Macaca fascicularis: one gene and its partner. The protein of the gene in region 1 interacts with the protein of each later gene in a pairwise test. Links are inferred from orthologs where the notes say so. Each region holds a gene or a part of one and is shown in the gene's direction. Other genes may lie near its edges.

Region 1 (3,814 bases):
AACTTTGGAGAATTTGAGAAAAAAAAGCTTCATCATTGAATAGCTCTTTACAGTTAAAACAAAGTCACCTCCCATATTTAGTATCCCTAAGTATTTTTGTCTCGCACTAAAGTTATTTGTATTACAGTAATTTGCCAAAGCTCCATGACACTGTGATATTATTTCTCCTTAAATCAGCTCACATTTTAATGTTAACATTTTTAAAAGAAAATATGTCAGTGACTTAATTGGAAAATCACTAATAAGTAGAAAGTAACAAAACAAGATAAAACAAAAAAGTTACTAATTTTTAGCTAAATACTCTTGTCCGCTGGAAACGGTACCCCTGAACCTTTTCATTTGGCCCTTTTTTTTTTTTTTTTTTTTTTAATTTTTAAAAAGTCAGTTTGCAAGTGTTAGTTGAAGACAAGCACCAAGCTGAGAATTTGTCCTGGATGTAATCAGAATTCAAAAAAAATGTCTTAAGGTATCAGTATTACCCACAGTTTAATACTAGATCTCTATGCTTCTTAGCAGTCATCTGACATACCAGTGCCTTGGGAAACATTACCACCTAAAAAGAATTTGGAGCCTCTAAGACCCTGTGTGTTGGGTTTTGATAAATAATATTAATATATAATATTTTACCTATCACACATCTATAACCTCCGCAATTCCCTTTTCATTTCTATCAACAGATGCGGCATTCCAAACGAACTCACTGCCCTGATTGGGATAACAGAGAAAGCTGGGGACATGAAAGCTACCGTGGAAGTCACAAGCGGAAGAGGAGATCTCATAGTAGCACACAAGAGAACAGGCATTGTAAACCATGTCACCAGTTTAAAGAATCTGATTGGTAAATCAACTCTTGAACTAGTAGCATTGTAGCTCTAATAGTTTTAAATGATTTGTCATTTGCTTGTATAGCTTTCATCTGTCAAATTGTTTTATAATTCAGTCAACAAATACTCATTTAGAAAATATTTGAGTACTTATTTTAGACTAGACTATAGGTGCTGAGGCTGCAGCTGTGAATAAAACAAAGTTCTTATCCTTATGTATGTCTGTCTCCCTGGGAGTGGTAGGAGACAGTTGATCAGTAAGTGAATGTAAAATGTATTAAATAACATGGTGCGTCCCAGCTGCCAGTAACGTGACTAGGGAGATGACACACAAAAAGTTAAGTAATAGTGATCGAATGCCCAATGCGTACCTTTAATTTGTATATAAGAGGGAGACGTGTATGTTGTAGCGCTCATTAAGTGTTTCAGAAATCAGATAGGGTTTTATAGGGGAGGAGTTACTCCAACAGAGAAAAGCAACATGTATTATTAGTCACTTAAACACTGTATTGTATTTGTAGATGAGGCCAAGGGATATGTTTGTTTGGGATTTTTAGAAGCTGGCTTTATTTAAGAACTGTTGTTTTCATAGGTCGTAGCTAGTAATTTTGGGAAATGGCCTCAATAAAAAACTTGCAACAGCGTGTGTCCTGTTGTATTGTATTCTTACCAGTGTAAAATTTGGAGGTAATACATTTATATAGAATTAAAGGAATCTTAAAGTTCTAAATGATTAAAGAAAGGCTAGGTAGGTTTCTTTCACTGTTTCATTAATTTCCCTTTTTCGTTTGTTTTGTTGGTTCTGTTTTCTTCTTGTTTTGTGCAGATGTTCCATTGGGACTGTTTACCAGATTGCTTTCTAAATTAGCCAGCTGGGGTTACTTTAAAAAACAGTATGTAATTTCTTTCCTTCTCCACGTTAACAGACTTGTTCTGCCAAACTGAGCTTATTTGTAGTCAGTGCAGACAAATCATGCTTCATACACATTGTTATATAAGGGGAAGTGGGAAGGTTTATGGCAGGATTTCAAAGACCAGAAATAATTAATAATTAATGTACAGTATACTAAAGAAAACTATCTGTACCCCACTATTAATAAATACAAAAAACCCTAAGGCTTAACGTCATAGTACTAGTTACTCATTGGATAATAGGATAATTATACATTATATATGTAGAAAGGAAGTGATACGAGTGATGAATAATTCATTCATGCTCATAGTTAATTACATAAACATGATACTGAGTCCAGTTAACCACCAGGCCAATACCTTCTTTGACATTGGTACCAGATGTGTTTGGTGGTCAACATTCACCATAATCCAGAATGTTCTAATTTTGAAGATCAAAAACTTTGAGTGTTTTTATAAAATAACAAAAAACTGAAAAATGCAGAAAAGTATAAAAATGGTAATCTCTATAGGATATTAGTCCCAATTATTTAGCTGTAAAATTATAATTTAAAAAAAATCTTTGTTTCTAAATCTTTGCTGCTGATTATTTCCTGAAAATACACTCCAAGAAGAAGCATTTTTAAGGTAAAGGATATGAACTCTTAAAGGTTTCTTGCTACAGGTTCATATTTCTTTTTCTAGAAAGTTTGCCAAATTATACAACGTGCCCCTTCATGCTCTCACCAATCTTGGCTGTTTTGAAAGGCCAAGAATAATGTTTTGATTAAACTGAATTTTTAAATTTCTAACAAATTTGTCCACTGTCACATAAGTATTGATCATTTGAACATCTTTTTATTCTTAGCCTGTTTATTAAAGTATATTTTATTGATTTAGAAGAGCTTTTTATGACATATTATTTTAACCATTTGTCATATATATGTTGCATAGTGTCTTGTCTTTATGATTTGTCTTTTGGAGGTAGCCTGTGAATTGGTCTCCCTTTCTACAGGCTTAGTTAATCCATTCTGCATTAGAAAGACTGATGTGGCTGTAAACCCTATCTTTATATTGTGCATAGAAGCCTGTAACATAAAGTATCAAGTCTTAAAGCAGTGATTCTCCAACTTTAGTGTGAATAAGAATCACCTTGGAGGTATGTTGACCAGATTTAGAGTCAGTGAGTATGACTTGAGGCCCAGGGTTACCATTTTTAATAAGAACTCCATATTTGATATTGCTGATAAATAGACCGTCTTTTGAGAAATACTCTTTAGCCTAGCATGCAGGGCTTTTAATGATGCTATTCTCAGCTTACTTATTTGTCTACATTCCCCTGTGTGAAAATTGCTCTTGCCGGGATTGCCTTTTTCCTGAGTAATGCATAGACAAATCCATCTCTAAGCCATTGTGGCTAAAAGTGTCATATGAATTTAAGATGGTAACATGCCATTCTTCTCCACCAGAATTTCTTCTGTATTCTATTTTGTCCAAATCCTGGCTTCCCTTTAAGATGCAACTCTATTTCCATCTTTTTTGTAATTATTCTCTGACCATTTTAAACAGATTTTTTTCCCCATCTCTGACTCTAAGCACTCATGTGTTGTAACTTTTTAGAATTTCCTACATTGTTGGATTTTGTTTCATTTTTATGTGAGTAATCTCAAGTTGTTCATTATTTGTTGGCAGGGACTTTGCCTTATATAATTTTTTTTTTTATCTCCCACAGGACCTGTGGATATATAAAAACGAATGCCCTTACCCTCATCCGTCTTGGCTATTTTAAAGGCTATAGTGAAATATTCACTGGGCATTCAGTGGATATTTTAAAAAATTAAATCAGTCTGTTCATCCTGTCTACCCTTTCCATAGCCTGTGTAATTCTGTAGACTTTGTTTATATAATCTCTCAGCCTTGGTCATTGGCCATTGTCTATTGAAGAGACTCTCATCCTTTTAGTTTGTCCTCATGGTGTTCACTCCATGTTTTGTTACTCTATATTATTGTTTATGGCTTAGCAGCTCTAACTTCATGCAGTATTCCAGCTAAAGATTGTTACTGTTAGTTTTTTCTAGTAGAAGGATTTTGGACTTTTA
Region 2 (4,542 bases), on another chromosome or scaffold:
AGCTGGGATTACAGGTGCCCGCCACCACACCTGGCTAAATTTTTTTTTTTTTTTAAAGTAGAGACGGGGTTTCACCATGTTGGCCAGGCTAGTCTCGAACTCCTGACCTCGTGATCTGCCCACCTTGGCCTCCCAAAGTGCTGGGATTACAGGCATGTCCTTAACCTTGTCTACATAAACCTGTCAATTGATTGAGACCTGTCTCAGATACTTTTTGGCTTACAAATTGACTGAATTGAGGAAGGAAGGCCCTTGTCTCACCAGCCCTCGCAAACCTGGAATCTGGTACGGAGTGCTCCCCAAAGATATAGATGCAGGAGACTGTGCAATTGTCCAAAGTTTCCAGTTACCTTGCAGGCATTTAAGGTTGGTGACTGACAGTGAGGCAGGAGAACAAAGAAAATGAAGCAGAAGAAGAGCAAAGGGAATTAAACGTTGGATAAAGGGCAAAATAAGTAAAACCAGAGAGCAGAAGCAAGGTGAAGGGGCGGGTGAGCAAGAAGCAAGATAAATGGCAGAAGCTGAGGAGACAAAACAAAAGGAGGATTAAAAACTGAGTAAAAATCCCATGGCCAGGGAAATCAGGACCAAACCAGTAAGGAACAGCTCTTTAGGCATAAGCATGCGCATTAAACACAAAAAGTATCCTTAACGTAAGGATAACCAGCTCATTAGCGCTCATGCATATGGACGGCATATCATGCAGGTACTTAAAATTATGGAATGAAGACGGCCCTCAAGCGCACAGGGGCCAAAGTAACTAAGCAACACACCTATCATTCAAAAAGGTAGACACTGGCTACAGATTAGGCAGCCTTGGGAAAAGAAGAAAAGCCTGGCTAACATGGTGAAACATCATCTCTACAAAAACTACAAAAATTAGCCGGGCGTGGTGGCGGGCGCCTGTAATCCCAGCTACTCGGAAGGCGAAGGCTGCAGTGAGCCGAGACCGCACCATTGCACTCCAGCCTGGGCAACACAGCGAGACTACGTCGGGAAAAAAAAAAAAAAGACCCAAACTACACCAAGCTGGGGCTGATCTTATCTCGCAGAGGTCACTCCGCTCTCCCCTCCGAGAGTGGAATACTGTGCTTAATAAACTTGCTGCTTTGCTATCTCTGTGTGACTCGTTCAAATTTTTGTTCGGGGCACCAAGAGCCTGCAACTGTGCGGTAACAGCAGCTATTGGGCAGCGTAGAGTCTAGTCCAGGATCCAGCTTCGCCTATTGACTGGAGTCCGCATCCCGGGGGAATGCGATGGCCAGAGGGCAGAGGTGAGCAAAATGCTCACGACGCCCAGCCCTGAATGAACCCAGGGGGTCAGAAGGGATGACTGCAGAATTCGCTCCCCCTACTCCCTCCGCCCTCGCTCCTAGTACCCGCATAAAGAGGCTTCGGGCCCCCACCCCCGGGACCCTCTGGTGTCCCACCATGTGACCGAGTCTCCCTGCAACAATGACTTAAAAAGAGCTGGGGCCAGCGCCGGACCTCTGGCTCTCGCTCCACGCCCTTTCCCCGGCCCCACACCCGCCAAGACCCCCCTCTCTACCCCACGCGCCTACCGCAGGCGTCCCCCTGCCAAGCCTTGGGTCACGGAAACCGTACTTGTGAACCGCAAACACACAACAGACTGCAGACCCGGAAGAACCTGAGCCCGTGTTGACCACACCGCCTGGCTAGGGGCGGGACTTCCGGCCCCGCATTTTTACTTCCGCTTCCGGTTCCCAGCGTCAACTGCAGCCGGGGTTCTGCGCTCGGGTGAGGAGCTAGTGGCGTCGGCAGGTTCGAGGCGATTCGAGGTGAGGGGGTCAAGCGGAGAGGCTCGGAGTTGGGGAAAGCTGTCGCGACCCAGCCACCCAGGGTCTGGGGTCGGTGGGAGGTGAGGCCAGGGAGTTTTGTGTCAGGGCATTCAGGCGTCGAGAAGGGGCGGATGCGCGGCTGCCTGGGGTTCGCGGCCCTGGGACAGGGGACTTGGCCTGGGAGTATTCGAGTGCGGGGGGTTGGGAGCAGAACGGAAGGCTCAGTAACCGAGAATTTTAGGGCCTGGGACTGGGAGACTTGTAGGCTGGGGCTTCTGGGTCTGGGAGACGCCCGAAGCTCTGATTTTGCTACTTCCCACCCCACTGCTCTGTGTAGCTCCAGCTAGGATGATCGAGGTTGTTTGCAACGACCGTCTGGGGAAGAAGGTCCGCGTTAAATGCAAGTATCCATTGGCAGCCGAGAGGCAGTGGTACTCGCAGGGGTGCTTGGCGTGAGGCAGGCAACTCAATCTGTTGTCGGATGGTTTTAGTTAAACCCGGGAGAGGGGGCGGATGGGGTCCTGGCAGATGGTATTCAGCCCTGGAATGTCCTCTTCCTCGTTCTACCGCTCCCATTTGCCTTAACTCCTCTGCGCCCAGCACGGATGATACTATCGGGGACCTTAAGAAGCTGATTGCAGCCCAAACTGGCACCCGTTGGAACAAGATTGTCCTGAAGAAGTGGTGAGTGCAGTAGTAGAGCCACTGGGTGGACTGGACTAGGCCGGAAGGTTTTGGTTTGGGGGAGCGCTGCAAGCAGCCCTTTGCTTAGGCTGGGCTACCTCATTCGGCCTCCAGGCTGAAGAGCCTACTTAGCCTTATCTCTGAAATGTCTCTTTTCCTTAGGTACACGATTTTTAAGGACCACGTGTCTCTGGGGGACTGTATCCTTTGTGTGACTTCTTGAGGAAGCATCTACATACCCAGCCTCGGTTATCTTCGTTCCAAACTAAAGTCTGCATGAGATAATGTTTATTAAGTGTTTAACTTAGTACGTGGCACATGGTGAGCACTTAGAAAGTGGGAGCTAGGCTGGGCGCGGTGGCTCACGCCTGTAATCCCGGCACTTTGGGAGGCCGAGGTAGGCGGATCATAAGGTGAGGAGATCGAGACCATCCTGGCTAACACGGTGAAACCCCGTCTCTACTAAAAAATACAAAAAAATTAGCCGGGCATAGTGGCGGGCGCCTGTAGTCCCAGCTGCTCGGGAGGCTGAGGCAGGAGAATGGCTTGAACCGGGGAGGCGGAGCTTGCAGTGAACCGACATCGTGCCACTGCACTCCATCCTAGGCAACAGAGCGAAGACTGTCTCAAAAAAAAAAAAGAAGAAGAACATGAGAGCTATGTAATTATTTGGTTGGGGAGAGGGTAGTTGGTGAAAGTTTGACTTCAAGTTCAAAATATTTATTACTGACCTCCACCTGAGTGCTGGACAGTAGGTCAGGGTGGGGTGAGACTTAGGTATATCTATTGTGCAGAAGGAACAGAAACTTTTTGAATTTTTATTTTATTTATTTTTTTGAGACAGTCTCGCTCTGTCGCCCAGGCTGGAGTGCAGTGGCGCGGTCTTGGTCCACTGCAACCTTCACCTCCCGAGTTCAAGCAATTCTGCCTCAGCCTCCCAAGTAGTTGGGATTACAGGCCTGTGCCACCACTCCTTGCTAGTTTTTGTATTTTTAGTAGAGATGGGGTTCTGCCACATTTTCCAGGCTAGTCTCGAACTCCTGGCCTCAAGTGATCCTCCCGCCTCGGCCTCCCAAAGTGCTAGGATTATAGCCATGAGCCACTACACTTGGCCTAGAAGGAACAGAAACTTTTTTTTTTTTGAGATGGAGTTTTGCTGTTGTTGCCCAGGCTGGAGTACAGTGGCACAATCTTGGCTCACTGCAGCCTCTACCTCCTGGGTGTAAGCGATTCTCCTGTCTCAGCCCTCCAAGTAGCTGGGATTACAGGTGCCCACCACCACACCCAGCTAACTTTTTTGTATTTTTAGTAGAGATGGGTTTTCACTGTGTTTAAACATCACAGTGTTGGCCAGGCTGGTCTCAAACTCCTGACATCAAGTGATCCACCTGCTTCAGCTTCCCAAAGTGCTGGGATTACAGGCGTGAGCCACTGCACCCAGCCAGAAATTTTTTGGTAAAGTTTCAGTTCTCTCCAAATAAAAATGGCCTGGTCCAAAATGGGCTTCCTTAGCCCTGAACTGAGACCTCAGGCCACCCTGACCCAGCTGTGAATGGATGAGAGGGGTGGGGATGGAAGCCAGAGTCAGGATTCCTTAACACCTTTCCTTCAGATGAAATCCACGATGGGATGAACCTGGAGCTTTATTACCAATAGATGAGAATCCTCATCTTCCTGCTGCCCTGCTCTCCTTTCCCATCCTCATCCCCCACACTGGGATAGATGCTTGTTTGTAAAAACTCACCTTAATAAAGACTTAGATGTTGCTTTGTTGCTGTCTCTTTGCATGAGAGCTGTCTAGTGATGGATGGATTGGTCGCTGTTAGGTCATCACTGCACCATCAGTATGTACCTGCTGAAATAAGAGCTCCAGATCAACTGGATCCATGAGGGCAGAGTAGACCAGCAGGCTGGGAGTCTGTGTAGGAGCCCAGAGAGAGCTCTGGGGTTTGCTGTGGGTGTCTGAAGGTCAAGAGACGCTGGGATTATTGTCACCCTAATAGACCAAAGAGCCTCCAGGTCATGACAGTAGATGGAATTGTTAGGAATTAAGATTCTG

What was found.
Region 2: the proteins of CLK4 (region 1) and UBL5 interact in a two-hybrid assay, tested with the Homo sapiens proteins (2 studies listed by BioGRID and IntAct). The link is inferred for Macaca fascicularis from reciprocal best matches to the Homo sapiens genes CLK4 and UBL5.

The regions. Positions count from the first base shown.
Region 1 is NC_088380.1:185,417,233-185,421,046, reverse strand, and holds part of CLK4 (dual specificity protein kinase CLK4), read left to right. Parts: intron 1-677; coding exon of another isoform or gene 678-735; coding exon 736-838; intron 839-1,650; coding exon 1,651-1,717; exon of another isoform or gene 1,718-3,814. UniProt on the Homo sapiens protein: Dual specificity kinase acting on both serine/threonine and tyrosine-containing substrates.
Region 2 is NC_088393.1:10,368,923-10,373,464, forward strand, and holds UBL5 (ubiquitin-like protein 5), read left to right. Parts: upstream 1-1,736; 5' UTR 1,737-1,879; intron 1,880-2,136; 5' UTR 2,137-2,147; coding exon 2,148-2,203; intron 2,204-2,399; coding exon 2,400-2,483; intron 2,484-2,645; coding exon 2,646-2,683; intron 2,684-4,095; coding exon 4,096-4,139; 3' UTR 4,140-4,250; downstream 4,251-4,542. UniProt on the Homo sapiens protein: Ubiquitin-like protein that plays a role in cell proliferation and sister chromatid cohesion by associating with spliceosomal proteins. Participates thereby in pre-mRNA splicing by maintaining spliceosome integrity.